Linked DNA regions of Lytechinus pictus. The main gene of each other region encodes a partner of the protein of the gene in region 2 in a complex. Links are inferred from orthologs where the notes say so. Each region holds a gene or a part of one and is shown on either strand. Other genes may lie near its edges. The genes, in order: protein archease-like; RNA transcription, translation and transport factor protein-like.

Evidence for each region.
Region 1: RNA transcription, translation and transport factor protein-like (region 2) and protein archease-like share a complex: the UniProt entries of both Homo sapiens proteins name them as parts of the tRNA-splicing ligase complex. The link is inferred for Lytechinus pictus from reciprocal best matches to the Homo sapiens genes RTRAF and ZBTB8OS.

The regions. Positions count from the first base shown.
Region 1 is NC_087245.1:38,767,038-38,783,678, forward strand, and holds the start of protein archease-like, read right to left. Parts: upstream 8,251-16,641; 5' UTR 8,161-8,250; coding exon 7,932-8,160; intron 7,071-7,931; coding exon 7,046-7,070; intron 6,210-7,045; coding exon 6,199-6,209; intron 5,005-6,198; coding exon 4,973-5,004; intron 833-4,972; coding exon 754-832; intron 1-753. UniProt on the Homo sapiens protein: Component of the tRNA-splicing ligase complex required to facilitate the enzymatic turnover of catalytic subunit RTCB. Together with DDX1, acts by facilitating the guanylylation of RTCB, a key intermediate step in tRNA ligation.
Region 2 is NC_087251.1:34,067,945-34,084,203, forward strand, and holds the start of RNA transcription, translation and transport factor protein-like, read right to left. Parts: upstream 8,540-16,259; 5' UTR 8,389-8,539; coding exon 8,331-8,388; intron 6,979-8,330; coding exon 6,854-6,978; intron 6,310-6,853; coding exon 6,210-6,309; intron 5,672-6,209; coding exon 5,591-5,671; intron 4,585-5,590; coding exon 4,433-4,584; intron 2,049-4,432; coding exon 2,000-2,048; intron 1,356-1,999; coding exon 1,201-1,355; 3' UTR 1-1,200. UniProt on the Homo sapiens protein: RNA-binding protein involved in modulation of mRNA transcription by Polymerase II. Component of the tRNA-splicing ligase complex and is required for tRNA ligation.

The DNA.
Region 1 (16,641 bases), on a different chromosome or scaffold from region 2:
AGAACACCAAAGAATATGGAATTTGCATTTTAGAGAACATAAACCTGGAGATTTCAACTTAACCCCCAATAGTCATGGAGGGGGTAGCGGATTATGGCCCTTTAAGATCTTGTCCGCAGAACGCATGATTGCAGCAAAATTCACACTATGCTAGAAAATGACTAACTATGAGGGTTACATATAAATAGCTAACTTTCACTAAATCTATATATATTACATTTTATATGAATTTATTGTGTGGTTGTGGGTCGGTCAATTGGAGGTGCACACCAGTTTTGATTCTTGATTAATAGTAGGCCTATAGGTTCATTAGCTGTGTCATTTTCCCCTGCTACATTGTTTTCTTTTCTTTTACCGGTAATCCCACAGAACACAGTGCGCTTAGAAACACCAGTAGTAAGCACCTTATAAATGTTATGTATTATTATTATGCTAATCTACATTTATACATGAAATTACACTTGTTGCTCTTATTCAGTGTTCAATAAAGTTCCTGGAATGCTAATTTTTGGTGTAAATATTCTCTATTGCATTCCTAACATTAACTGAACTGAAAGAGTCATGAAATATTGAGATGCAAACCTCTAAAGTTACAGATATATCACAAAAAATAGTGAGGTGCAGGCCATTATGCCCCCCCCCCCCCTGACGATAAAGGGATGACCCTTCAAACAACCCCCCCCCCCCAAAAAAAAAAAAAAAAAAAAAAAAAAGACATACCCTAAAATTATTAATTATTGAAAAAAAACATACCTTCAACTGAAACTTCCTGATTTATGGTACTCTCTACACATCTGATGTCAGTCATGTAATCAAACATTGCTTGCACTACCTGTCAGGGTTAATATACACAGAATTTCATTATACACTACATTTTGAGGATGATGATGATCAGAAATGAATCAAGTGCTAGAACTGTGGTCTTAAAAGAAAAAAAATTATATTTTGTAAACAAAGTACAGATTTTAATCATTTCATTTCATGACTGATGGTATTGAGGCAATTATCTAATAAAGAACAATTCTCAGTAACAAATCCTTAAAAAAATAGATCGATGATATGGAAGAGGTTCATCGTGGTTAAGGATTGAGTAGAATAACCAGTTGTCTCATGATGTATCAAACATAGTTTGATACATCGTGAGACAACTGGTTATTTCTTCAAAAAATAGATCATGCATACAATGTGCTCTATACAGAAAAATTGATCATGTATACATGTGTAGTGTAGTGAAATAAAATGTATTTTTTTCGGCTATGAGTAAATGAAGTGGAAATTAGACCAACTCGGTACTACAGTACATGTAGACTACATGAGAATTATATGCTTTTCACACTGCATTTCCTTAACCTCATACTATATTTTCGTGGATTCACTGTCTTTCTTAACCCCATACTATTTGCTTAGCCAGGGTTAATGCCTTAACCCCAAACTATCACACAGCTCATGAATATTGATGATTTTACCATACAAAGCATGATTATCATGCAATTTTGGCTTGAGTTTCGACGTGATTGGCTAATGCTTAGCCCCACTTTTCCTTAGCCCAGTTTTGTTTCACACTGCATCTCTTAGCATTGCAATTGTGGTGCTAGCACCACAATAAGCCGGCTTACCCTGCTTGTTTGCACGGTCAGATGGTACCGTACTAATTACCGTGATAGCCACTTTGCTAAAACGTAGTGTGAAAACGAAGTGGGCTAAGCTTAACCCCGGGAAATTGGTGGGGATAAGACCCGACCCCCCCCCCCCTTTGCCCCACCAATTTCCCTGGGTTTAAGAAAAAAAAGTGCAGTGTGAAAAGCATATCAGAGTTACAGTAGTCTATGTGGGTATTAAACCAAGTATAGGGTAGACCCAATGACAATTACATGTAGACCACATTGCCAATTCATGAGAAGGCCAATTGAATATAAAACCCATACATGTAAGTAAGTTCACCCTGGAGTGATCCCCCACGATTGGGTTTTTCAAACGCATCCTCCATTGTGCATCATATTCCAACACAAACACTCCTTTATTGTTATGTGACAAAAGCATGCCAGAGAGTGGGCGCGCTTATGTCAATAGAAGTGTAGACTATTATCATACAGAATTCATGGGAGAACAGTCGCCCAGACAAACTAGATCTCAAAAACAAATTCATCTCGATGATCAGGGAAGAGTTATTTAGTCCTGTTTGTATGCTTCCCCTGGAAAATTCCCATTCACGATAATGCTTATCCAATGTTTCAGATTTAGGTAGAAGGTAGTAAAAAGTAGCCCCCGAAACTAAGAACAAGTGGAACGCCTCTGGCAGTCTCGCCTGCATTACGCAATTTAATATAGCAGCAGTGCTAACTTTGAAAACTACTATAAAATAATCATTCACAAAAACACCATTCATATAATGACATAATACCACGTTCATTGACCATAGATGACATTTGAACGGTGACTTAAGACTTGTCAAATACACCCATGTCCACATTTCATTCACTCTATCCATAAACTTTCAAAGTTATGATGGCAATTCAACAATTACCCCAACATGGCCTCAGTTTATTGACCTTATCTGACCTTTGACCTTGGTTTTGTGACCTGAAACTCACAGGGGATATTTAGTGATACTTGATTAGTCTTATATCCCAAGTTTTATGAAATAGATCCATAAACTTCAGAGTTAGGATGGTAATTCAACAAATACCCCCAACACGGCCAAAGTTCATTGACCTTAAATGACCTTTGACCATGGTCATGTGACCTGAAACTCGTACAGGATGTTCAGTGATACTCGATTACTCTTATGTCCAAGTTTTATGAACTAGATCCATAAATTTTCAAAGTTATGAAGGTAATTCAACAAATACCCCCAACTTGGCCAAAGTTCATTGACCCTAAATGACCTTTGACCTTGGCCATGTGACCTGAAACTCAGGAAGGATGTTCACTAATACTTGATTAACCTTATATCCAAGTTTCATGAACTAGATCCATAAATTTTCAAAGTTATGATAGTAATTCAACAAATACCCCCAACTTGACCAAAGTTCATTGACCCTAAATGACCTTTGACCTTGGTCATGTGACCTGAAACTTGAGCAGGATGTTCACCAATACTTGATTTACCTTATGCCCAAGTTTCATGAACTAGGTCCATATACTTTCTAAGTTATGATGTCATTTCAAAAACTTAACCTTAGGTTAAGATTTGATGTTGACGCCGCCGCCGCCGTCGGAAAAGCGGCGCCTATAGTCTCGCTCTGCTATGCAGGCGAGACAAAAATTACTTTTTGTCCGATGGGGATAATATTTTGGTTGTTTGACAGCTCTCACTGATTTAAGGAGCAGTATTTCCATGCACCAAATACTGCCTATTCAAATTTCTGAGATCTGATTTCCAACCTAACTTTCAATACTTTTTGTCCTACATGTAGGCCCCCTCCCCTATACACCACACCCCCAGAATGAATGGAAAAAAAATCAGCGATGTTTTAAATTTCTCAAAATTTAAAGTATATTTTGTATGTCACAATAGTAAAAACTAACTTCTACCAACCTTTTTTCCTATCCATCCACTTAGGGGTAGATCTAGGATTTATCAATTGGGGGGGGGGGGCACTTTTAAAAAAATCGACAAGCTACCCCCCCCCCCCCAAAAAAAAAAAAAAAAAGACTTGTGGAGACCATTTTTGTGTAACATTTCATGGACATGCCCCCAACAAAAAAAAGAAAAATTAAAAAAAATAAGAAGGGCTAAAAGGGGGCACATGCTTCCCCCCCCCCCCCCGAGTCAAGCTTGCTCCCACTTAATTCAGGGTTTAACAAACTCATGGTCTTCAAACTCTTAAGACCAGATACACATACATGTACATGAAGGAAAACTTTAATCTATGGGTCATATAGTTTGAAATCAATTTGAGAATACTCAGAGCTTGTAGACTAAACCAGTAAGCTCATTTGTCTCAAAGTGGAGCAAATATTGCATAAGGGCAGATCGAAATAGAGGAAAGATCATTCAATGTTTAATGTATGCTTAAATGTGGGCAGGTAGGAAGTGGGATAAAGGCACATTGTTCTACAAACAAGACCAAGCTCCTTACAATTGTGGGTCTGGACATGCAATGTACATAGAAAATTTTAATGCTTTGTCACCACTTGCGACCTTAAGCTAGACTTCTTTCAAAACCCACTTATTGATTGAAATTTCAATCATGGTCTGTGCTAAGCCCCCCCCCCTCCCCCTCTCCACCACAGCCTTGCCCAACTGAGCCAACCTTGGTCATAAAATGTTGTGTGGGAAAGGAGAAAAATAAGTTTAACAGAATGGTGAAAGTTTGAAAGAAATCAGACAAGCAATAAGAAAGTTATGACTGTTTTAAAATTGAGATTCCTAAGACTATGTAAATTTCAAATTGGCAACTGGCTAAGTAAATTATGACAAGTGGGAAGGACAACTTTCCCACAGGCCATGTTCTTAATTATAAGGGATTTATAGTTTCCTCTTAAGTACCCATTCCCCTGGGGCAGTAATCCAAATATAACTAATGAAGCATAACGGTTTGATAGCCTCATGAAAGAAAAATATAGTTTGAAATAAAACTTTTGAAAAAAGCGACAATTTCACAATTGTATGTATTGGAGTAAATAGCAGAGTAGTCCTTGCCTCACATAACTATGACATCACCATTGTGGCCAATTTGAAGTCTCCATGGGTATAGTGATTACCAATTTTTTACAACGTTTAAAAATTCATAACTTTCTCATATTTTGTCCGATTTTGTCCAAACTTTCACCCATGTACCTGTCTGATTTTTTTTCTTCTGATAAAAATAACTTGTTATTTAGGATGGATGCTCACTTAGTAGACTCCTATGATTTTGCAGGCATTGGCCTCTCAGACCTACATGTACTACCTATCAGATATTGTAAATTTTGAAGTGGTAATGATAAATGTCGATAAATTGCATCATGAAAAATTTTTAGTACTCACCGATTCAAATGAATCCTTGAGTGTTGGACCCCCTGTTGCATCAAATTTCTGCTAAGGAAATTTGAAACAAACTATTGCACACATCTGCATGCACATATTTTTTTTCAGGTACAGTAGTATTGGAAGACAAAACCAGAGTTACAAGGAGGCTCAAACTACCCTTCCAGCAAGGGGGCTGCATGATCAGGGGGGTTCTGATAGGGGGAAGGGAGGTGAACTAAATTTGAGGACTTCTTTCTTTTTTTTTCTTATTGAAAAAAAAATGTGGAACTATATATCTATAGTTCCATGACCATGCTCATGCCCTCTTTCCAGTAATCTTCTTTCTTTCTTTTTTTAGTTCTTTCTCTTCCCCTTTCCCTTCTGATTTTTCACCTCTTTTTTTTTCTTTCTAAATTACATGAAAAATCATACATGACAGGCACCATCCTAACCAAGGAGCAAGGCACCTAGCTAACATTGAAACTTCATTTGATTTCATTTATTGTATTTTTTTTTGGGGGGGTGGTATAACAAAGAATTGGCATATTATTGACAGTTGATTGTACTTTTTTCTTCTTTTTTTAGTTTCACAGAGACTTGCAGTTATGCTTCTAAAAATGAGCAGTTAACCCTGACGATAAATGTGTTTTAATAATTTCAACGGAAAAAATAACGAAAATATTGGTGTAGGTTGACAAAAATCTATGGAAGAGTTCTGAAATTTACATGTATAAGCAGCAGCCCAAGATGTCATATGATATAAATTCAATAAATTTCCATTTTTTTATGATTCATGATGACTGAATGTGCTTTAGTGGGTATATAATGACATATCTAATGACATGAATGCACAAATAAATCAATTTCAATTTTCTAAGAAAAATGGCATTTTATTGAATTTATGACATCCGGTCAATAAGAGAGCTACCAAATCTTTGATCTGGACTTCGCAAAATTTTCACCAGTAGGTTCTTATGTTTTTTCTGCTTTTATCAAAACCAACTTTACACATTTTAATAGAATAAGTGATTGCATATTAGAGGGTTGCATTATAAAATTATATTACAGGGCATATATTTCAAAATTTGGGATCCTTAAAAATCATATGATTCGCTTTACCCTGAATATTTTATAATGGAATTATTTCAGGAATGGCTTATAGACATATCATATATATATATCACAATGCCTATAATGAATTATTTGTATAAGGTGAATATAGTAGATCATAAGATAAAGGATACAAGAGTGTAATCTGCAAAAGAAAAAAGAAATTAAAAAAAGAGCAAAATTATTGCAACTTGAAAAGGAACTAAATAAATTCCAACCTTTGATCTGTCATAAACATTACCCCTAATTTAATGTCACAAGATATTAACATTAGAACACTGGACTTTTTTTTAATATGACTGATACTGATAATAGAGTTTGATCATAAAAAATGTTATTGTACACATAAGGACTAAGAAAACATCTGGGGAAATGGCACAAAGTTCAAGATAAAAGAAAAGTTTTAAGTAAAATAATGGAAAGTAAAATAAGAGTTCAAAACCATATTTAAAGATAAAGGTAAGCTGGCAAGGTCTACTTAAATTCAGGAGCAAGCAAGTAAATGATTTCGATTTTTTATTGATTTGAGGGCAATAAATGGATGGGGGGGGCATTAAAAAAAATATATCATAGCATATACACATGTAATATTTAACATAAAAGCTGAATAAATAGGGTTTCAGAATACATTTAAAAAAAAATTATTTCCCATCTTTCCAGAATGCTCCTGAAAACTTGAACTCAGTCATGGCTTTGAACTAAACAGCATGCATTCTTAACCTTTATATGGTAGGGAAAAAGAAAACTTACAGTACGGTCAGTAGCGTACCGTGAACCGGAGGAGACAAAGCATTGGGGGGGCACTGCATTGTCTGTGAACAATGCTGTGCCCCCCCAATGCTTTGTCTCCTCCGAGTCACGGTCCGCCACTGAGTACGGTACTAACCAAAAATGAAAAAAAGAAAAAAAGAAATTGGAGCCCTGTATTATTGCTGTAACTAAAGACCATGAAAAAAATGAAAAAGACAAATTATCACTCACTGGACATCTGCAGTATGATCCAAATCTGAAATGAAAAAAAAATAATTATGGTGATAGAGGTCTATGGAACAATCACAAAATTTCTGACATAAACAGTTGAAGGCTTTGGCTAGCTAAGGGACATTTTTATAGATTGATAAAATGAAGACTGAAGAGGATATAAATAGAGGGAAAAGAATATTCAAGAGGAGAAAGGTAAAAGAGTTAAAGGCATGAAATTACTGTTTTACATGTACGTCTCAATTTATTATGACTATGCTTTGGCAAGCTTAGTAATGTTGTGGATAATCTTGCAAACAGTAGAGGTGCTGATCCAAAAATTGGGATTGTCCCAGAAAACAAGGATATCCTCAATCCTCATACTGTAGACCAAGACAAATCATGTCTTGATAAATTGGGATTGTCTTTGTTTATGGGAAGTTTTTTTTCACTAACCCCTGAAGGAGACAGCAATTACAGGGATTGAGAGTGCTATAAAAAGAGATTTAGTGACCTCATGCAGTTCCCCCCAGTTCACCGTCTATTTTTCATGACTTGCCATCTTCCAATGTAATCTTGTGTAATAATGAAACCCGAGGTGAAATACATCCACTAGGTGACTAGCGCACTTGATCGGTGTCGGCACCTGATAGGTGAATGAACTTTCCTAGAATTCTTGTGCGGAGAAATCTTTGAAAACTGAGACAGTCCCTGTAAACTGGGATGATCCATCCCAAATTTCTGTCACGCACAAGCACTGCAATAACCTTGTTAATTGATTGAACGAGTGCCCTACTGAGTGTAATTGTTGTAATGAGCTACGGTAGCTAAACTAAAGTAAAGTCTAAAGAGTAAAGTAAAGTCAGATCCCCAAATTAACACTATAAAATTATTTTTTGGTTCTTACATTCATAGTTTATACCACCGGCTGGTTTATCATCTGCGTATAGAGGATAGTTTCCCTTTTGATGACCAGCAAATACGTGCAGTTGTTCTTCAGAAAAGTCCACAGGCCCAGCAGACTCGGATCCAGCAGCATCTGCGTCTCCCGGGGTCGAAGTCGCCCCGGTATCTCCGGCGGCGTCCTCAAGCTCCTTTCGCTCCTCCAGCTTTGCGGTGGTGGCATCTGACTCCATCGTTATTTTTGTCTTTTAATTTTTTTAGTTTTCCACAATTCCGTCTATTCGTTTATATTCCTACACTACCACCGTTTTTCTGTTTTTTCTCAGCAGCCACAGCATCAACGTAACATAAGAGCTGAGAAAATGTTAACACCGGTACTACGCTAACTATTACTGGGTTTTAATTTCGGATTGGTTAAGCCCAATTACTGAAGCAATATAATATGGGTACGGCACATCACAGTGCTAGTGATGAATCGGGCCAGTGCTCGGGCCGCGCGCCGGGGTTCATGATCGACGTGAAAATCCAAATTTCGCAACCCTATGCAACAATCTCGACTGCACATGCAATAACAATGGCAAACTATGGGCGGCCGTTTATAACAAAATTAAATAAGAATCCCATAAGGATTTCTTCTTTCCTGAAATTTTCCTTAAATTTACGAGGAAGTGAAGCAAATATATACGCAAACAAAACTCGAACACTTAGTCCCAATATTTTGAACAAGATTCATTGCACTACAATATTTTCTGTTTAAACAGATTTGCATCTATAGGGCTTATACGCCGGTAGAATATAGCAGGGGCCGCGGAATGGTTTTCAAAGTGAGGGGGGGGGGGCTGACCATGCACAAAATCATATGGTAATTTTTACGTTTTTGTACACGGTTTTGGAAAAAAGTGGGGGGGGGGGGGCTTCAGCTTCCCCGGCCCCTGTATAGACAGGGATAGACATGGGCGGATATCTCTCCCCAAAGGTAGGGGGGACCAGGCGCAGATGAAGGACTTTCCCCCCGGAAAATTTGAAAAGCAAAAAAAAAAGATTATCACCCAAAATGTATGGTATTTTCGTCCAAAATAAATTTGACAAGCACAAAAAAGGGTATCACTTTCAATGGGGGGGGGGGGGCACACTTAATTGGAGAAAAAAAATTCTATTACAAATTTTGATTTTAAATGATGTATTTTTTCCATCATAAAAGACCACAAATAGTAGGGGGACATTTGATAATGTGTCCCCCCCCCCTTTCCAAATGGTAGGGGGCGTGTCCCCCTGTCCCCCCTGGGATTTTGGCCCATGTATATAGAGGATAGGTGGCTACCGTAATGGGCGGCCTCAACACCCCGGCCCACGACAGTCCCAATACAAAACACACAAACCCAGACACAATTATAAGTTTCAAGTTTATTTTTATTGATTTGAAATCCAAACATAAATGATCACAATCAAAATAAAATGAACAATTTTTTTACAAATTATCGAACATAAGTTACAATGATATATTAACATTTCTAACAATAAATAGAGTCACAAATATATATATATATGCTGTCTGATACACATAACTAAAAAAACAACTTTAACAGAGAATGTTAGACTTTTCTTTGAAGTGTCACGACCTACATGCCTCCAAAATAATCTGGCCTATGTGAGGTAACACTTTTTAAAAGAATCTATGCGTTTTTTGTTACTGTCAAAAGTCGAGCTGTTATTTGTTATGTATTTCATATTGTAAAATATTTACTTTCTAATTCTTTTCTTTTCAAGCCCTGAAAGGGCACGTAGGCCATATAGTAGCCTAGCTATATACTATATTATTGGGTAAATTCTTGTCAACAAGCATGCGTAATATAAGTCTATATCATTTCAAGGGAAACAATTCTATAGGCCTATGATATACCCAAAATATACAGAGTTGTTATTAGCGCCAGAATAGACTACAAAGTAAGTTCTACGAGTTAAGATTTCAAATTGATCATAAACCGCTCGCTCTCAGAATATACAACTTGTATAAATACTTTACTTTGTATTTCAATTATTAAAAATATCCTATGGAAAAAGCGTTTTGCTTACATCTCCACGAAAGACACAGATACTTCAGGCGAAAACACAGTGCATGCATGCATGCCTCTGTTTTTACTCCAAATCCCCTTCTGACATGTTATGTTATGTTATACCGAGGTTTTTACCTGACTGCTAAGAAAGCAAGAATGCCTGTGAGCAAGCAACCAGGGGACCAACGGCTTAAGGTCCTTTCCGAGGGACCTGGTAATGAGGATAAATGCCTTACCAAAGGGCACTAGCGCACCACTTGGGAATCGAACCCGGGTCACCGGAATCCGAAACCCCCGCTCTATATAATATACCGACTGAGCTATCGCGCCTCTTAAACACAAGCTTTTTTTTTTGCCTTGCCGGATCGACCCCGAAGAAAATACGTTCTGTCGCCCCTGATTCCACATGTAGGGACGGATCCAGATTTCCAAGAAGAGGGGGTGGGGGGTTCTTCACTCCCAAAAATATTTATAAGAAAAAAATTGACGAAATGCATGGAAATCATTTTGTTCCAGGAAAAGTTTGGCAAGCCCAAAAAATAAGGGTCCTCACAGTGCGTTTTTTTCCTTCTTTTTTTTTGCCTTGACTTAAAAGAAAATACGTTCTGCAGCCCCTGATTCCACATGTAGGGACGGATCCAGATTTCCAAAACAGGGGGGGGGGGGGTCTTCGATCACTCGTCTCCCAAAAATATTTATAAGAAAAACTTTGACAAAATGGAAATCATTGTTTTCCAGGAAACGTTTGGCAAGCAAAAAAATAAGGGTCCTCACTTGCGTTTGCACGACATATACCCTTTACAAATATTGTTTATGTCTCTCAAAGGGGGGGGGGGGCGGGGATGGGGGACGCGGGCCGGACTTCCCTTGAAGAGGTATACTCTCCCAAAAAGCGTACACGCTGGAGAGTGAACCTTGAAGAAGGCACCGGCCCTGGATCAGCCGGCTGGCCACATTTCAGACACATACGTATGATTATTTAGAGGGGGTATATGCTTTAAAAAAAAAAATTTGCATCAACAGTGCCAGCAAAACTCAGCTTCATGTATACTTCATCCGCAATCTTCACACAACGTAGGCCTATACTAAACCACATTTAAGCTCTAACAACCAATAAAAATTATCTTCAGTTTAATACTTTCAGCTGAAATCAACGGTCGGACCTTAATGGAGGAAGCTAGCTAGCTAGGATACAAGAGAGAGAGAGAGAGAGTGCCCTTTATGCCACAAATTTTGAGGGGGCCAGTATCTGGCAAAATGTACAATTGAGCGAGCACTGTCACGTGCACAGCAATGCCTAACATTTTTATTGACAAAAATCCAATTTTGTGATAGATTTTGACATAATATTCAGAAAATTTACCTTTCTCTCTTTCCTTAATTTTCTCTTATTTTCCTTGGTCGTGATTTTTTTCTCTTTTTTTTTTTTGGGGGGGGGGGGCGCCCCTCCCCCTCCCTCCATCTGTGTACCAGGCACTGAAGGTGAATCGTCGTGTATTTTTTTTTTACTTAAACTTCAATTCTTTTCTTTCTTTTTCTATACGTGTTGGTTTTATCAGAGCAAATTTTGTTCCTTTTGGCTAGCCATACAGAACGCGCCTGCGCAAATCACATTCAGTAGATCGGCGAACAACAAACCAAGTCCAAGACCAAACCAAACGAGGGAATCTCACATCACGTCACCAAAATTGTCAGATGAACTAAGAACCAGATCAGATTTGGTAATGACAGTTAGCATGTAAAGTCTTTGTAGCATAAGCATGATGACTATCTATTTTAGATCCAAAGAAATTTTGCAATGGAATTTAACAATCGAATTTTATCTGTATTATTTTGAGCTGGCACATGTTGAGTGGACACACACGAGACTAACAGTGTGCAGTTGTGTGTGAAGAATAATGTGACGTCTGTGGGGTGTGTGAATGTGCATGTGGTTGAAGCTGCACTGCACTGCAAGCCACATGCTACTTTTAATTTCCAACATTTAAACGCACACTCCAAAAAGTGCAGTGATAGCTTTTGTATAAAAGAAATACTTAATTCCAGGGTTGCTGGATGGTATCCAGACAATTGTCTTTTTAACTTTAATTGTAACTAGAGTAGTTACTACTAGTAGTAGTACTACTACTAGGCCAGGGACTTTTACTTTTAGGGTCTATTTCTGTAGCGTGGGTGTACCGTATATGTTACAAAAAAAATAATTGAGAAATGAGTTTTTAGATCTCATCAAGACCTTTCATTTAATACCTCATTCATTTCAATAGCCCCAGTATAACAAGAAAGTTATGGTAGTTTTAAGTTCGTACAAATCGCCTATCCAATTCTTATGACTGTATTCCTTTGTTTTTTAAAACAAAAGTTGGGACCTTAATTGGGACCAAGACGCACTATATTAAAGGAGAATGAAACCCTTGAAACCAGCTGAATCCATATCAAAGAGAAAAATCAAAGAAACGTATTGTTGAAAGTTTGAGGAAGATTGAATGAATAATAAGAAAGTTATGAGCATTCGAATATTGAGATCACTAGTGCCATGTAGATCCTCCCAACGGCAATGCGACCAAGATCTGTGATATCACACACGTACAACTCCCTCATTACTTTAGTACTTATTTCACTTAAATTCTCACTTTTATAGAGTCTATCACATGGTGAGGTGTTCTCTTTATGAGATGACAAGTACAGAGGTTTCACAACATTATATCATTGATGAATCGTTTGTCATATGATTAGAATGAGCAAAAATAGATGTTTTGGGGTATATGTTCAGTGTCCAAATGGGAGAGTTGTACGTGTGTGACATCACAGATCTTGGTCGCATTGCCAATGGGAGGATCTCCATAGCATTAGTGATCTCGACATTCAAATGCTCATAACTCTTTTATTGCTAGTCCTATTTTACTAAAAGTTTTGTTGATCTTATTCTTTGATTTTTCTGCTTTCACAAAAGCTAACTTGCTCCAAGAGTTTCATTCTCCTTTAATATGATGGTGGGCCCCAAGTCTGCGCACCTAACAATTTGAGTTAAGATTTAACATGAATTTCTTCTTATTTCACAAAATCTTTTACTTAATAATATTCCTTATATTATTATTAGTAAGTGTACCAAATTTCTCACAAAAAAAATGAAAGAATATATAGGATTTTCTTGAAAAAACCTCGGGCTGTCATTTTCAGATTGAAAAAAAAAATGGTTCCCCATGTCTGCGCACTCATTCACTTTGCACACGATTCGGGGATTTTGATGAGAAAGGCTGCATTTTGAGGCCTTCACATGAAATGCCCTAAATTCATTATTTTTCCATCATTTTGAGTCGGATTTTTTTATGAATACCTGTCTATGTATTGCATGTGTAGAGTTCGTGCTCGTTGCGTATCTTCTTTTACTAGAATCGCGCAGATACGCGTGTGTGCAGACACGGGGGGACTGCGCAGACTTGGGGGAACTTGCCATACTAGGAAACAACAATGCGCATACATTGGCATACGGAAGTGCACAACAACACTCCCCAAAATTACAGACGTCGCCGAAACAGGGACATAAAAAACACACTGAGCGTCGGTAGATTTCTTTCAAATTTCACCACAAAGTTGTTGAAATGTTCTATCGGAATGAATACCTTTTAGAGTGGGATGATACCTGTAAAGAATAGCAAGAGGTTGAAAGCAAGACTTAAGTTCCAGTAGCACACAGAGTCGCAAGATCACCGAGGGAGATTTTTTTCAAGTCTAGACAGCTGCCATAGACATTCAACTGCGTAAAAACAATGATGTCATGGGGAATAACCTTTTCTTGCACATGCAAACACAATACAAAGCAATGCCCCTACAGTCAACCTGTGGTTATAGGCAGCACACTCAATGTCTCGTTCAGAATGCATCTAGAGGGTGCTTTTGTAACATACCTAATTTCTGGTAGATTCTAAGGTTAGACTTAGCCAGGCCAGAAGGCTCTTCGAGAGTAAAAATCATTGACTAACGTATGCTTACTCTCCACAGAGCCAGGGATTCGATTGCGTTCATCTACACGTGCCGCCAAAAAACCTCAAACTTTCGCCCCCGAGATTTCTACTTTCTAAAAGATCTAGCCCTTAATCATGTATGGGATTACCTCAGGCGATGTTCGTGCAGGCTCCACTTCACTACCGCTACACTACGCTCCACCTACCCGAACATCGGGACAGTGAACTAGATCGGATATTCCGAGTCATAAAAGGTGGGATGGCAATCATCGTAAAAATTAAAGAAAAAAATTATAACGAGGGATATGAATGACTTAATATCTTACTCTACACCCGTATTTCACTCCGTGTCCATCCTCCGGTTATCCTCAAAATTGGTGATTTTGGGCCAGTATCTTTTTCCTCACACGTATTATTCACGGCCGATTTCAAAACATCGCATGCGATCGGTCGCTGATCGATGGGGAAGAACAATAGGGGAAAAAAAGAAAAGATTTTTACTCTCTAAGAGCCTCCTGGCTAGTTAGACTCAGAGTCTGGTCATAGTCTCATAGAGTCGTAATTAATCAGTCTCCACAAGATAATTTTCAAAATACTGAATAACTTTTATCGCTAATCAGAACCACAATGCGTTATGGGATCGAAAAGGGGGCAAGCAAGCTAGCTACGCGCACTGTCTGCAGTGCGCGTAGCTTCTTTTTCTTTTTATGTGCCCATCCTACGCCTACGGGACGTATTATGGTATCACGCTTAATGTTCATCTGTCCGTCTGGCATCTGTTAACTTTTCTTTGTAAACGCGATAACGTCAGTTTAACTTAACCTATTCTCATATAGTTTGGTGTGTATGATACTAGCATGGATCCCAGGAAGCCTATTAATTTTGAGGTCAAAAGGTCAAGTTCATAGTGACATGTTTTCATCTTACCCTTCTGAAAACCGCGATAAAAAAAAAAACGTGATAACTTCAGTTTAACTTAAAGGAGAATGAAACCCTTGAAACCAGCTGAATCCATATCAAAGAGAAAAATCAAAGAAACATATTGTTGGAAATTTTAGGAAGATTGAATGAATAATAAGAAAGTTATGAGCATTTGAATATTGAGATCACTAATGCCATGTAGATCCTCCCATTGGCAATGCGACCAAGATCTGTGATGTCACACACGTACAACTCCCTCATTACTTTAGTACTTATTTCACTTATATTCTCACTTTTATAGAGTCTATCACATGGTGAGGTGTTCTCTTTATGAGAGGACAAGTACAGAGGTTTCACAACATTATATCATTGATGAATCATTTTGTCATATGATTAGAATGAGCAAAAAGAGATGTTTTGGGGTATATTTTCAGTGTCCAAAAGGGGAGAGTTGTTCATCAGTGACATCATAGATCTTGGTCGCATTGCCAAAAGGAGGATCTCCATAGCATTAGTGATCTCGACATTCAAATGCTCATAACTCTTCTATTGCTAGTCCTATTTTACTCAAACTTTTGTTGATCTTATTCTTTGATTTTTCTGCTTTCACAAAAGCTAACTTGCTCCAAGAGTTTCATTCTCCTTTAAATAGCAAGCCTGACCTATAGGCTCATATAATTTAGTGTGTATGATACTGGCGTAGATCCCAGGAAGCCTATCGATTTTGAGGTCAACATGAACAGGTCAAAGGTCAAGGTCATAGTAACACGTTTTCATCTTACCCTTCTGAAGTCCAAGTTGTAAACGCGATAACTGTAGTTTAAAGGGATGGTCCAGGCTGGAGATATTTATATCTCAATAAATACAGTAAAATTCACAGATCAAAATGCTGAAAATTTCATCAAAATCAGATGACAAATAATTTTAAGTTATTGAATTTTAAAGATTTGCATTATTCCGGTAAAACAGTTCTAGGCATGTCTTTATGAATATTCATTAGGTGGGCTGATGATGTCTTATCCCCACTTGTTCTTTTGTATTTTATTATATAAAATTAGGTGTTTTTTTTTTTTCTACAAAGAACTAAAACAATTGGATTGACAACTGATTAAGTGCATAAGTTTTTTATTGCCGCAACTTATTTCATCATAATGGAGACACATCATTTACACATGTATGGAAAAATGAAACAATTATGGTTTCATGTAATAACATTAAAAAAAGGAAAGTGTGGACATGACATCATCAGCCCACCTAATGAATATTCATGACGATGTTCACAAAATATTGATAAACTTTAAAATTCAATAATTTCTTTATTTGTTATTCAATTTTGATTAAATTTTCAGCATTTTGCTTTGAGAATTTTGTTTATTTATTTAGATATGAATATTTACAGCCCGGACCATTCCTTTAACTTATATAGGCTCATATCATGGATCCCAGGAAGCCTATTGATTTTTAGGTCAAAAGGTCAAGTTCACAGTGATATGTTTTCATCTTACCCTTCTGAAAACCTTGCAAACACAATAATTTCAGTTTAACTTAACCTAGGCTCATGTACATGTAATTTAGTGTGTATGATACTGGCATAGATCCCAGGAAGCCTATTGATTTTGAGGCTAAAGGTCAAGATCACAGTGACGTGTTTTCATCTTACCCTTCTTAAGTCTTTTGGCGTGTTTCTACAGAGAATCGTTAAATCGGTTTATCTTTTCCGGAATAAAAAAACCATTTCGCCCTTAAACCAACTTGTTTCTACAGAGCGAATAATCCG
Region 2 (16,259 bases):
TCTAAAATTTATGATGGAACTAAATTAAAACCACAACAGAACGTCATGAAATAATACTGGGAAGGATGAAATTCTTTAACAGGGTTCCCACAGAAATTTGAAAACAGAATACCATGATTTTTCCTTGACTAAATTGCTGCTTTCCATGACTTCCTGTGACATCCTGGGAGTTATGTAGAATTCGGGATGTCACAAAACTGGGAAAAATGGAAATCATGAACACCAATTATAATAGCAGAGTATAATCACAGAGTGTAGTGAGACACGACAAACTGGAAAGCTGCCATAGCCAAGAGGTAAATGCAATTCCATGACTTTTCACAAATTTTCCAAATTCCCTGACTTTCCATGACCACAAATTTTTCCAGGATTTTCCATGACTGTGGGAACCCTGTTTAAAAGGAATAAAAAGAATGGAAGCCATTCCCTTCACACACAAATAATAAAAATGCCCATCTTTATGGAAAAAATTGGGAAATACCATTAGTTAATATTGAGATCAAAGATCAAGGTTTGATTATGATTTTTTTTTCAAAGGTTCATTTGATTCAGACGAGGTGATAAACTGAAACTACCCACAGTGATGGACCCAAATATACAATGAAAATAAAATGCACTGCAGAAACAGAATCCTTATGAAAACATACTGTTTTTTAAGGCAAATATCAATGGATGTCGCTAAGCACTTGGCATTTCATAGAAATTGGACAAGTAAATATGATATACATAAGAAAATGAATATCACAATAAAAAATCAAAGAAAACAAATGATACATACAACTCTAATAAAAAAGTTCAAGTAATTTTTGTTTCGGAAAAAGAAATCAACCACTATTCCTCCCTTTAAAGCTAGCAGTTCCTTAAATAACTTTAAGTAATAGATGAAACTGCGATTATAATTGAATAAACCACTTAATAGTACATTTAAACTCTGAATCGTTTTAAAAGAAATTACCCATAGCCACGGTCTTGTCCTTCCTAATTTGCCCTAAAATATTGAAATTTAAGGCCTGAATCCAGTTACTAGAAATACTCGCAATAAAAATAAACTACACATAACAAGAGCAATTACTTTATAAGTACATATATTTTTTACAAGTACAATAGGAGGAAATCCCATAGCCATACAGAATATGAATTCCATATTGTTGTTCCTATCAGTCACTGTGAATTAAATAACTTTGTGGGCGAGAGAAGACGTTACCGTCCTACTTTTCCAAGCCGTTGATCAGTCTTTGGATTAGCAGTCAGTGACTGGACTGCAACTATTGTTTCATTGATCTTAGTTTGAAGGTCTCGTAATTCGTTGATGTGAAGAAGTCGTAAAATCCTTCCGGCATCATTCATAACTGGATCTATGAATTATAGAGAAAGATAATGAAGGAAAGTAAAGTTTACAGAGAAAAAAATTAGAAAAGTGAATTATCATTTGTTCTTGTCATATTTGTGTCTAATGCCCACTGGATCTTCTTCAACATAATGTGATCCCATTTCATCTGTAGTTATAATCAATCAAATGAATTATTTGGGATTACTTTTACAATTAGCTCTTTAACATTTTGTAAATTCCACTTAGACTATGCCTCTTCGGTCTGACCGACACAGGGAGGTCTGTCATCAAATGTGTTTTAAATAGCTAGTCTTTAAACTTACATTTTTAGAAACTGTATAATATTCCAGAGTATAAAGTCGCCTATAATTTTATTTGTAAAGGGAGACACTAAAACATTTTGAGGGAAAAGTTCAAAGTGATCGAAAACTCCATATAAGCACTGCAATTTTCCTGGGATCACACTTGTAGTTCTATTGATTTATCCTTAATCTTCCATGCGCTTGGGATTTATCTTTCATTTTTCTTTGATTTTGCAATTTTCTCTCACTGCCCTTGCTATTTTGAATGTCGTAAGAAAGAGTGATCCACCAACGAGCCTCTCATGATAAAGAATATTGGTGGCATACATATGTATTATGAAATGCACATATTGAAAAAGGCACATACCTTTTGCATCGAATCCTACTTCATATTCGCTGAGGTCCACCTCCACCCCCTGCAATGTGAAAATATTTTTAAAATAATAAAAACACGAAAGGTATGCAATTATTTCAATCATCAAAATGGTAACAAATGGGCTAAGAAAACAATTATCAGATGACTTTTTTTTAATTTGATCATTTCTTTTAAAGGTTCAATATTCCAAATGAAATAAGGCTCATTATTCCACAGGTTTAATAGTCAGAAAACAAGATTTGTACAGTTCATCAGTTATTTTTGTACTCACAAATCTTATTATTTCATATTTGGATTATTGAACCTTGCGAATAATGAACCTAATTTCATTAATGAACCTTCGGAATAACAAACATTATCATATTGTTGGATCGATAAACCTTAAACATGATAAACCCTATTCCCGTTTCCGATTAACAAACCTTTATAATTATGTCACAAATTTTCATTTTTTGATCAGTAAACATCTTAGTACATTCAATCTGCTTCTTTTGGAATAAGGAGCGTATACCATAGTAACATATCAGCAAACATGCACTTTTTCTCAGCATTGATTAAATTTAACTCTGAATTTTGCCAAATTTCAATCACAAAAATGTAGCACCTTAATTAATACCAGTCTCATCAGACATCATGGAACCTCTTTGACCCGAATTCACAAAGGTGGTTTTGAAAACCCATGGTTGAATCCATGGTTTATGCAGATTTCCTGTATAAATTACGCTTAATTTAGCACGTATCAAACGCGTGTATAAAAAATTCCAATGCTGATGCGCGCTTTTGTCACAGTGCGCCAATTTGATACCCGTTACCATGGTTAGATACGCTATTTTATTCATGAGTCCACTGTTTGAAGAGTGAACTCATTAATTCAAAACAGTGGACTCATTAATAAAATAGCGTACTTAGCCATGGCGCACTGTGTCAAAAGCGCGCAACAGCATTGGACATTTTCTAATATACGCGGTAAAATAAGCATAATTTATACAGGAAATCTGCATAAACCATGGACTCAACCGTGGGTTTTCAAAACCACCTTTGTGTTTTCGCTTTGATCTCATCAAAGTACTGAAGCATATTCATGGTTTATTTCCAATTGGTCTAATGCCAATTCGTCCAATTGCCAACTCGTCTACTATCATTTGGTCTACCATTAGTTCGTCCACTCATCATATCGTCTAATAACCAGTTGGTCCAATAGCCATTTAATCCATATACCATTTGGTCTAAATGGACTAAGTGTTAATTGTGCAAAATGAATGAAAATAAAATGGATACTAGACCAACTGATTATGAGACAAAATGGTCATAGACGAAATGGTGATTAGACAAATTGATGATTGGACCAAATGGTTGTCAGACGAAATGTTGATAGACGGAATGGTATTAGACTAAATGAATGTAGACCATGTGGTTCGTCCACTATCCACATAGTCTACTTGCCAATTCGTCCACTCACTATTTCGTTGAATAACCAGTTGGTCCAATAGCCATATACCACTTGGTCTAATTGGACTAAGTGTTAATTGTGCAAAATTAATAAAAATAAAATGGATATCAGACCAACTGGTTATGAGACGAAATGGTCATAGACGAAATGGTGATTAGACGAATTGACGATTGGACCAAATGGTTATTGGACCAAATGGTTATTGGCTCAAATGGTTGTTAGATGAAATATTGATGGATGGAATGGAATTAGACTAAATGAATGTAGACCATGTGGTGAGTGGACGAGTTGGCAGTAGACAATTTGGCAATTTACCTCCATGATGAACTCAAATTAGTTATCAATCCATACAATCTAAAGCTATATTTCAACCATTAGCAAATATTTCTGTTGCTAACTTCAGTCAATTGTGAGAATACATCATGAAAAGCTTTGAGATGGAACAAAATAGGGGAAATATATACAATGTCAATTATGACTTAAATTCAGGTGTCACATTCCACACATATTTGTAAATTAAACTTTGACAAACTGGAAGTTTCCTTACATGACTGCACAAGGACTTGTGTGAGTATGTTGAAAGAGAATGGTACATTCAAATCAGTTCAATTTATAAGAACCACTCAAATCTAATACCCAAATTCACAAAGGTGTGTTAAATTTTTTTGACCTGAACTAATTTAACTGGGGTAACTTACCCTGTGGATTATAGTTAACCCAAGCTAAATAATGGGTCAACTAACCGTGTGAGTTATAAATCAATGATCACTTCACAAAAGATGGGTTAAGTAACACTCCAGGGATTAAATTTAATCCATGATGTCAAAGGACAAAATTTAACCCATGGGTTAAGTGAATTCACCTTCCTGAATTCAGGCCTAGTCATTTACATGATTGTCTGTACATATTTTTGTGCATAAATAGAAAATGACATTCTTATGTTACAGTTCAATCACTGGAAATCTGTCTAATACCTCTTCAAGTACCCCTTCCTGTGCATCATCGGAGAGTCTGTCTTTGATGAGAAGAGCAATGGCTTCCAAAGTCACAATAGGATCCACGTGTCTGGGAATCTTGAGTAGTGAACACAAGGATACCAGGCCCACCTTCACATTTGGACTAGAAACTGTAGGAAATAAAACATGGTTGCTCTCATTCATTACTCGCTCATGTGCACAATCTGAACACAGCCGTTCAAAATGAAGTTTTCAGTGTTTTGTGTTCGTCTGAAAATTAAAGTTATATCATTTTCAGTTTGGAGTATCCATTTAAGACTAGAAATTTGGCGTGTCCAAAAGACACAGATGCCCCCGCTTAACGCGGTCAGAAATTCATTCAATATGATTGAACTTAATATCGAGCAGAAACCAATATGCATATATATAATGAACAAATTTAGACCTTTGAACCAACTTTTATATATATTATGAGCTGTGACCTTTGACCTGCAGACTCCGAATTCGAACTTAGCCTGTTTTTGGTGTCATCTACCTACACACCCAAATTTTTTAAAATCAATTAAATATTTTTCGAGTTATTGCGCGGAAACCAATTCGCATATTTAATGAGCTATGACCTTTGACCTGCGGACTCCGAATTCAAACTTAGCCTGTATTTTGGTGTCATCTACCTACACACCAAATTTTTTTTTTAATCCATTAAATATTTTTGAGTTATTGCGCGGAAACCAAGTGGGGGACGGACGGAAGGACGGACAGGGGCAACGCTTAATGCCCCCTCCGGACTTCGTCTGCAGGGGCATGAAAAGGAAAAGTAAAGTATGGGTTCATCTACTGATGAAGAAACAAAATGGTAAAAAGAAATATGTACTTCATAAAAGTCTTTAGGTTCTATAAAGACAGTTGTGATTGATCAAACTCAATCTCCTCTATGAAAAGCAAGTCAGGGTTCCCCCCCCCCCCAATGGTAGCGGGTCAAGCTGGGTTAGATACAATACAATTTCAGGGGGTGTAATATTTGTGCATTACAATCTGGATTACAAGCTGGATTCACACCTGTGCCCCGAGCAGCGCGCATTTCTGAGAAACGGCACTGAGACAGTGCTAGTTTTCTACAATCGATATTGATTTCAACCAATCATAGCCTATCACTTAATAGTTCTTGATTTTTACCATCAATACTTGCAAAGGGGTCTTCCGCCATAGTTCCTGAAGGAGTCTTAGATGGTGCTCCTATTCCTTTATAAATTTGTGCTGTAAGATAAAAATAAACATCCAGTAAAATTGTTAATTTCTCAAGACAGCTCAGATACAATCAAGGCCAGTGTACAAGCAACTAAGAGACCATTGTCTTTAAGTCCTATTCAAGGGACCTGGTATTGAGGATTAATGCCTTCCCATAGGGGATTGATGCACTGACCCAATTCTTAAACCTTCTAATCCAAGCTGTTTTGTGCATCATTACGGTCGTGAGTTGTGAAAATGGTATGTTAATATTCAAATTTGACATTTGCTCCTGCATCAATTGCTCCGATGGAAATTCTGCACGTTAAGCAAAACATAAAACCTAACCTCAAAAAACCAAATAAACCCTAATCCTTATTGTTACATTATTCTGAACCAAAAACTCTGTTACAATCCTAACTCTAACCTAACCTTACTCTAATCTGAAATATTAAGACAAGTGTTCCAGGAGCACATGTTGTGTCACTGTGGGTAATGGCTTTACAAAACACCCACCCAGTCTAATTGATACGTTTATTTTCATCATTTAGAGAGGAATTTGTGTTACCCTTTTCTCCATACTCCAATCGAACGGCATGACCAAGAATCCAATCACACACTGCCAATCTATCACTGCCATCCAATGGACATTGTAAGTCTTGGATATACTGAAAAGAAAATGTAGAGGTACAGTAAAGAAAAGTAAACAAGGAAGATTTTCATTGTCAGAGTTGCAGTTGTTGATACTATCGCCTAGTCATTATCATCATTATAATAATTGGTATTAGTATTAATAATCATCATCAATCATTATCATCACCACCATTATCATCATCATAATAAATATTGTTGAGTGTTGTTGGTGTTTGATAATGATGATAATGATGATCATCATCAATCAGATCAACTTCATTAGCATCATCATTACTATCATCTTCGTCACTGTCATCATCATCATCACCATCATCATCGTCATCATCGATTGGATCAGCTTCATTAGCATCATCATTACGATCATCTTCATCATTGTCATCATCATCTCCTTCATCATCTTCATCCCCATCATCATCATACTTTTACAAATATTTACTGATCTTTATAGTTAGGAGTCATAAACAAGGCACTGTGTGAATAACTACTCTCAACTGAAATTACATAGAATGAATTTATTGTATTATGTTGACAAATGTCAATCAAGACTAATGGTCTTACTTTAATGAATGCTTTTGGCCACTGCGTGCTGCTCTTGTTCCTTAGAGCAGCTCTATCTTCAATCTTATACAAGCGAACCTTCTGATCTTCTAGCCATTCAACTAGATTCCGCCATTTATTCTCATCTGTCAGTCAAGGTGGAAAAGAGAGAAAAAAAGAGATAAAAATTATTATTTATCAAAAATAATAAAATTGGAAACTTGATTATAAATAATTACTATTGTAATAATAATTATTATAATCAACTTTCAAATTTTTTTATTTGTTAAATAATAATTTTTATCTATAAATTGTTTTTCAAAACGGCATTTTGTCACACCGCTTATCGAAGCTACGTCGAAACGAAGCGGTTCAACATGTTCAAGGGTCAAGCCTATTCTTGTGCGGTGTTTACGAATGAATCGAGGGATCTACACGAGATCGGTCTGGTAAGAAACCTCTAATTTTTCACATTTATTCTGTTTTTTTGCACCTTCATACGCATTAGCCATTAGGCATACTATACAGTGTAGATAAATAAAATCAAACAAATTTATGTGCCTATGGCAAGGGTTTCAAGGCTTCGTAGTGAATAAGTATATGTCAAACTATTAGAAAATATCATCACGAAGTCCTCAGGGCCGGCTAAGGCAGGGCAAGCCAAACCACGCCACTTGAGGCAATTTATATTGGCAATGCAATTATTTGATGTTATAAAATAGGTGTATTATTTCAAGCATCGTGATTGGCCAATATGCGTCACATGACATCCAACTTTTTTTGTGCACTGCACGGCAGTGCAAAAGGTGCGCAACGAAAATTGACATTGCACGCTCAAGCAGACTAGTGCGGTAGAAGTCCAACAAAATTGTATACCCAGTTGTGTGTCCGGACAGCGGACAGGTTGTGTGTCCGGACGATCAATTTTAGAAAGTCATTTGGAAAAATTTAAAAGCAGTTTCATCAATTTTTAGTACAAAATGTTAGGAAATATTATTATAATTATACAGAACAAAATGGAAGATGATTACAACTATTATTGAAATCATATTTTTAGTGTAGGCCCTAATCCAAAGACAAAAAAGAAGGCTTGAAAAATATAAAGTGTCCAGACACCCGACCCCCCCCCCCCCCCCCCCCATCCTACTGAATTCTGAAACTTTTTAAGAATTTGTTTGTCATGTTTGTGTTGCTATTTTATAAAACAAATAATGCACTTTGATCTGTCGTGCATAAAAGTAAATGCAGAAAAAGCTTGGTTTCTTCAGGTGGTGCACACTGGGCACTCCCCCTCAGCGGCTCGTGCATAGTGCAGCACCTATCTAAAAAAAGACTAAAGAAACCTCGCATCCTCTGCATTTCCACTAACGCACTCGGCTGCATGCATTATTTGTATAACATTGTCAATATCCAACAAAACTTTTCACATGTGGGACCGAGATAGAAAAAGGGTTTTTAATATCATTGAGACATTTATCAAGCGAATCAGAATAATTACCACAAACATTGCAATCCGGCTGCGGATAGTTCAGCGCTTGCAGCTTTCTCCTAAACATATTAAAAGTGAAAATGACAGAATATGGATTAAAACAGGTTGGTAAAAGTAAATAATTGTATGACTTCTTATGACTGAATCGACAGCACTGCACTCGTAACTCGCGTTGACGATTTCATCGGTCGAGCGCCAGCTTGCGACAAAATATTGTCGGATTTCTTTTTTTCTTTCTTTTTTTACAATTGGGAATTTTCTCTTTTTTCCCCCAGTCAAAAATTAGTCAATCGTTGGGTCGTGTCATCGACTGACCTCCCTATGCTAAAAAAAATTGACATTTCACTGTATTACCTACTACTTGCTTGATTTTTGCATCTTTACTTTACTTTACGTTTATTTACTTTCCTTTGCTCTACTCCAATCTAAAAACGCAATATCTCTATGACATACTACTCACAGATCTGGGGAGTGTTTCATCAACATTTTCATCCGACAAGTTGTCAGATCTGACATCTTTCTCTGATGTTGATTGGCTGAGAGGTACTGTTACTATGGTAACTGTCGGATAAAATGGGACTTGTCGGATAAAACGTCCGACAAGTCCTTTCATGAAACGCTCCCCAGAATACAGATCAGTGGCTCTACTCTACCCAACATGGTAACATACTATACTCCAGGGGCGTCCGGGCGGATCCAGCTTTCGTCAATGGGGGGGATTTTCACCCTCATTTTCCCCGATCGGGTGCTAAAAGTTGATTTTGTTGTTTGCTAATTTTGTTTATTTTTTCATTTTTTGTTTTACTAAAGACTGGAGATCAAAGTACAAAATATTTTGTTCTTACAAACGCGGTATCTCATTTTGTCTAAATTATGCGAGCTCAAAGCTGAGCTAAAAAGGGGCCTCAGTTGGCCTCAGTACTTATTGAAGAGGATAAATTATCTCGCCAATCGAAATGCGAGCGCGAAGCACAGGCTTAAAACTATATTTGATCAGACCTGAAAACTTTACTTTCTGAGCACTTTATGTATCATGCCTCTCGGATGGATAGGGCCCGCCTGTGAGCGCGAAGAGCTAGCCAAATTTTGAATATTTCAACCAGCAAAATTGAACAAAGCACGTTTTGATAAAGAAAAGGATATATCATCTCCAAAAATATATATGTAAGTGTCAAGGAGCGAGCTGTAGGCCTGCAGTACTGGACCGGAGTAACCCACCAATCCTTCCAATATTGACTTCAAACATCGGCCTAAATGTATGCACATATATTATGCAGTATAGTAGTTTGATTTTCATAATTATGTTATCTGCTGTTCTTTGATGTCCGTCCTTATATTTGTATTTGATTTATTAGGGCCTACTTTGTATTGTGTTTGAATAAAAATGACCGTAAAAAATTGAATTGAATTAAGTAATTAATTTGATGTAATAGCCGACCTCCATTCATCTATACACAACAAAAAAAGTAAGTCCCCCCTAAATCAAATTGCTGTAACTTTTGAACGGAGTTATTTTGAGATATGATATCTCGTAGGTGACCATTTTTGAAAGTGACAAGGGTCGTTTTTCAGATTGTGCAAATACGAAGTTGGGCAAAAGTTGTTTTTAGGTGAATTTTATGGTGTTATGCTGTTTTACTATCCATCACTTCGCCACTCCACACACAATTTTGATATCGTATGTTCATGGTTGAGTGAGCACAATACCGCAGGGGCCGCGGAAGCGGGGTGGGGGCCCACTTTTTTTTCCAAAAGCATGTACAAAAATGTAAAAATGACCATACGATTGTGATTTTATGCATGGTCAGCGCACCCCCCCCCCCACACTTTGAAAACCGTTCCGCGGCCCCTGTATTGTGACGTATCATTATAGGGGTTTTTGGTAGTATCCTCTACAACTTGTTAGGTCATATTAAAATTTAAAAATGTTGGTGGCTCCCCCGATTATAGCCCCCTCCCCCATTTTTAAATTCTGGATCCACCACTGATTTGTCCATAAATTAAACTGATCATGAGAAATTGTTACGAAAAGAATACATTTATGCAGTATAAAGAGTATTCATTCCTAAGTTTTCGAATGTGCTCGCTCAACCATGAAAAATGTTAAAAGTTCGGAAAGTGTGTGGTGATAGAAATGATGGATGATAAAAACAACAGCAATTAAAGTCACATTTGAAACCGAATTTGCCCCCCAATATTCACCTTATTACCCTTTAAAATGAGTCTGTGACATTGAAAATACCCATTTTGCCACTTTGATGCGTGCTCACTCATCCGTAAATAAACAAATCGATTTCATTTTTGCACAGAATTCTACCCATAGGTTGATAAACATTACTGCCAAATGACATTGCTAAAGACAGCCTTGAAAAAAAGTTCCACCATATTAAATAAGGGGTTACTTATTCTTAAACATATGCACCCATAATGTACACAAGTCTATGAGAGAGGAAGTCAAAATCTTAACAAATATGAAATAAGGGGTTTGTTTCATGGACGGTTTTTGTTACTTCTGCTAACAGTTATTTCATGAAACTTCGCACATCGCTTCAGAGTAACACTATCCAACAGGCGCGCACACCACAATAACAATTCGATACGGCACAGAGTGGGGCCAAGGCTTTGAACTTTCTTCTCATTTGCATAATTTTTTTATATTGTGTGCTCACTGATGGATTAAACATCGGGATTTTCATGAAAATCTAATCAAATGAACCAGGTTTGTGACAGATATCCATCGTTACAAATTGCATTTTTTCCAATAACGTAAAAAAGAGCTAATCACATTCCACATGTTCATTCAAGCGTGAATGTTTAATTAAACGCCTATGAATCATTAAAGCATGTTAATTGGTCATGAAAAAAGTTGATAAAAGATCAGTTTCAGTTACCAAAATGAAACAATACTTGCCTATTATATTTGAAAATCGTATTTTTTGTTTTCAATAAATGTTCATTTTAACCGTGAAACGATGAATAGTGTTGAAGATACTCTTCCCAAAAATTACTGTCATCACATTCTATCATTTTTATTGATGAAAATGTGTAAAAAATCCAATTATAGCAAATTTGGACTTGTGTTTATTCAACCGTGAAATTTAGCCAAAATATTGTATCGTCTTTTAGAAAGTACCTTTTACAAGCCTTCTGACAATATTTCAAGATGAGAATGTGGAATCAGTTCCAATAAAATGGAAATGAGTCATGATTTTTGGCTTGTGACGTTTGAAAAGTGACATTTTTGCCTTCTGACGGTGCTCACTGAAGCATGACGTAAAATACGTCCATAACATTTACTCAGAGGGTAGCTTATAAAATTATACACGCTCATGTAAAAATATATCAAAAACTCGCATTGGTTCGGAAATTATTGATGTTTGTTCAAGGGGGGACTTACCTTTTTTGTTGTGTATATATTGTTTCACCTGGTTAAAAAAAATAAACTTCCATACCACGATTATTCATTTTGGATAATCAAAATAATCCCGATAGAAGTGTTTTCACTATTTCATTCGGACGTTTATGGCAATTTTGCTATCCCATGGTAACTAAATGGATTCCATACTCCGGGTCCATACTCAATAGTTAATCAAAATCAAGGATTCCATGAAAAAAGGCGCGGATCCAGGGGGTACAGGGGGCACGTGCCCCCCCCCCCTTTGAGAAGCAAATTAAAAAAAAATTTATGTAAAAATTCCATTAAAATAGAGGTGAAGACTTTTTTTTCGGGTACTGCTTTTCCTCCGAAAAAATTGCCCCCCCCCCTTTGGAAAATCCTGGATCCGACCCTGGTGAAAAATACAATTGCATGGTAAATTAACAAAATAATAACTTCTATGCAGTCCGGGTGTCCCCTGGTGCCCAGGACAGGCGTGTTCGGGTCAATACCACTCGTTTCTATACCATATGCACATCTCCAAAACTGACAGTATCCGGGGACTGAATATACATACACTATCAGTGCAAAAACTACAATAGCAAGCTACTGGTCATTATTGTTAGAGCGACAAGACATAGGAAATTCATTTCTGGTATTTAAGGCTAAAATCATTTCGTCATTTTTATTTTGAAATTTCGAGTCCTTGCATCATCTTTATCATGTTTATTAGCAATCATTAGGCATAAAAAATTATAGGCCCTATATAGGCATAGGCATAGTTTTATCAATCTGATTAAAACTGACCCAACTCCCCCCTCCCTCCCTCTCGAAACGAAATATCCACAGATAAGTTTGATTTTGTGGAGTGACATTGACCAAAATTGCCCAGGCACTTCCACTTATTTTCAGATAATTCACGTTTCCATATAGATTCGAATCCAGTTTTGTCCCTGCATAGCGACCAGTCGGACCTGCAAAATCAAGCAAATATTAACAGAACATGATTGAACTCCCACAAAATATAAGGTGGGTGATATCATGCCTCACAAATTAAGATAGATGTCATTTCAATCGTTAACAGCACACGCACAAAAATAAATCCCTAAGTATCCTTAGTAAGTAAAACAAAACTTTTCCGTCACGAATGAACTTGGGTTTAATAGGGCCTATACGCTAATTCTCAGTGGCATAATGAGCCAAAAGTTTTTGAGGGGTGAGATATGGCATATTGGGCAAAATTCACAAAAAATTGCGACCGAGCGAAGTGAGCGAGCAAAAGTTTTGACATCTTTATTACAACATTAAAAATATATAAATCATATTTGACCATTTTCTCTTTTCTTTTTTTTCTTTTTTCTTGGTGGCCGGTGATTTTTTTTTTTCGGGGGGGGGGGGGCAAGCACCCCAAGGCCCTTATCTGTACGCCACTGCTAATTCTAAAACAAAAAGTCATGTTCTTTGTATACCGGTACTTTGTCCTTAAAAAAATCAATTCATTATTGAAAAGCGGGGGACTATAATTTGTACAGGCAATTCCTTGTCGGGGGGGGGGGGGGCGACGTGGGGGTAGTGACCCCAAATGGTACTGTGGTCAAGGGTGTTAAATTGATTGAGTAAATGACAGATTAACAAGCAGTGTATTCATCCTAAGTAAAAAAAAATTAGAAATAAAAAAGCAAACTTTTATTTGCTGAGCTGAGCTGATGCAGCATAGCAGCCGACAGCTGGCTCCTGAGAAATGTAGACGCGCCCTCATCGATAGTTCATTAATGGGTTCCGTATTTTGTCATCCACCAAATCTACGTTTTTCCACTTTCGGGGGCCAGGTTCAAGGATAATATTCGTATTATTAGGAATTCTACAGCGAAGGTATGATATGGATGTCGTCATTTCATATTTCAGTATATTTGTTAACAATTCAAATATTTTTTCTCGAAAATCACGTATTTTCTAACGATTGCGAGGAGTTTTAAATCGATTGAAAATGACACCCTTTTCGCCGCACTCGGCCTTGGTCGAGCTAGCGAACGTTGCCTTTAACTTACGCCTCTTTCGTTGGGGGCGATAACCATCGCTTCCCGATGGAAGCACTCGACTCCGGTATAGGCCGAAAGGCCGAAGCCATTTTAAAGGGATTGTCTGGGCTAAAAGTATGTATAGCTTAATAAATAGAGTCGAATTCACTGAGCAAAATGTAGAAAATTTCATCAAAATCGGATAACAAATAACAAAGTTATTGAATTTTTATTTTTAAATTTTAAGTTTAGCAATATTTTGTGAAAACAGTCTGACACTGACAGTCATGACAGTCATCATGAATATTCATTAGGTGGGCTGATGATGTCACATCTCCACTTGTTCTTTTGAGTTTTGTATTTTATTATATGAAATTAAGTTTATTCAAATTTTTTCCTCCAAGAACTAGACAAATTGGATTGACAACTGATTGAGTGCATTATATATTTATTGCTGCAACTTATTTCATTATAAATAGGGAGACATATTATTCACACAAGTATGAAATAATGAAAAAATTATGATTTTATGTATGGCAAGTTCCCCCAAGTCTGCGCAGTCCCCCTTGTCTGCGCACACGCGTATCTGCGCGATCCTAATAAAAGAAGATACGCAACGAGCACGAACTTTAAACATGCAATACATAGACAGGTATTCATAAAAAAAACACGACTCAAAATGGTGGAAAATAATGAATTTAGGGCATTTCATGTGACGGCCTCAAAATGCAGCCTTTCTCATCAAAATCCCCGAATCGTGTGCAAAGTGAATGCGTGCGCAGACATGGGGTATCATTTTTTTTTTCAATCTGAAAATGACTGCCCGAGGTTTTTTCAAGAAAATCCTATATTTTCTTTCATTTTTTAATGAGAAATTTGGTACACTTACTCTTAATAATGTAAGCAACATTATTAATTGAAAGATTTTGTGTAATAAGAAGAAATTCATGTTAAATCTTAACTCAAATTGTTAGGTGCGCAGACTTGGGGCCCACCATCATAATAACATAAGAAAACGGAAAGTGGAGATGTGACATCATCAGCCCACCTAATGAATATTCATGACAACTGTTTTCACAAAATATTGCTAAATTTTAAACTTTAATAACTTATTATTTGTTATCTGATTTTGATGAAATTTTCGGCATTTTGCTCAGTGAATTCTACTCTATGTATTAAGATATAAATATTTTCAGCCCGGACCATCCCTTTAACGTTACTTACATGGCTTAGCTTAATAGCCCTTTTTACTTAGCCAAGCCCAAGGGCTCACTCAAGGGTTCATTACATGCCACCGCACCGCGCACAGAAAAATCAAGCCATAGGATGGGGGGTCGGGTGTCCGGACACTTTATCTTTTTGAAGCCTTCTTTTTTGTCTTTGGATTACACTAAAAATATGAATTCAATACTTGTAATCATCTTCTGTTTTGTTCTTTATAATATTTCCTAACGTTTTGTACTAAAAATTGATGAAACTTCGCTTGTAATTTTTTCCAAATGACTTTCTAAATTTGATCGTCCGGACACACAACAACTGGGTATACTAACTGTTGACCCAGGGCAGCCGGCAGGGAGCTCCGGCCCACGATTCCACGAAGCTTCGCGGGCCGTAGCTCGGAGCTGACTGTAAATATAGCTCGGATTGTTTACTGGACTGAATCATGCCGAGTTGACATCTGGCTCGGAACAGCGGAACTTACGGGTTGGGTTTCACTGTGATTGAATCCATCGAACTTGGTAAATAAACACGGATGGTTTGATAATATTTGAGGTGTCGTCTGTCACCGCAATAAATGTCATGAAACTGTTTTTAACAAGTACCTAATCCATCCACCTACTCTAGACGTGATGGTCGAGGGGATAGGTATGGTGTTGTGACGTGACCTTAATTCGCGCGTTACCTAATTATGTGCACGGTCGAATATCTCAATATGTAATTGATATATTGAAAAACTGATATCACCAACAGAAAAAACGATCCAAAATTACTAAGTATGGCCTTTTCTTGAAGGGAAGGTCTGTCTCAATTTGTGAAATTATTGGCAAAACATCAGCAAATTTTGTTACCTTTTGCACGCGCTCCGATAAAATCTGAACTTCTCGACAAGTATCAAGAAATCGCCAGTTTGCAAGCAGAGGTATCCAAATAAGTAAGTCAAATGTTATACCAACCAAATTTATGGCATTTTAACCTCCATCTGATACAATTATCTTACCTTTGTATGTTTGATTTATTTTCTAAAGCTTTGCAAAATGGTCTAGCGCAAATTTAGATCACATTTTTTAATGACACTTTTTCAGCCGAGCGCGCACTAGTCGATTGTCATGGAATTTTGAGATCGCGATATCGGCGAAACCCTTGGCCTACTTTTGTAATTCCGTCAAGCTAATTTGACTTTGGAATCTTGCCTTCCGTTTGGAATTTATGATTTTGATTAATTTTTTGTGAACTGAGAAATTTTGGATTGAAAAACAACTTCATGATAAATTTTAAAATGTGCACAAATTATAGTCACCCCATCATAGAGGTCAAAGGCCCCTA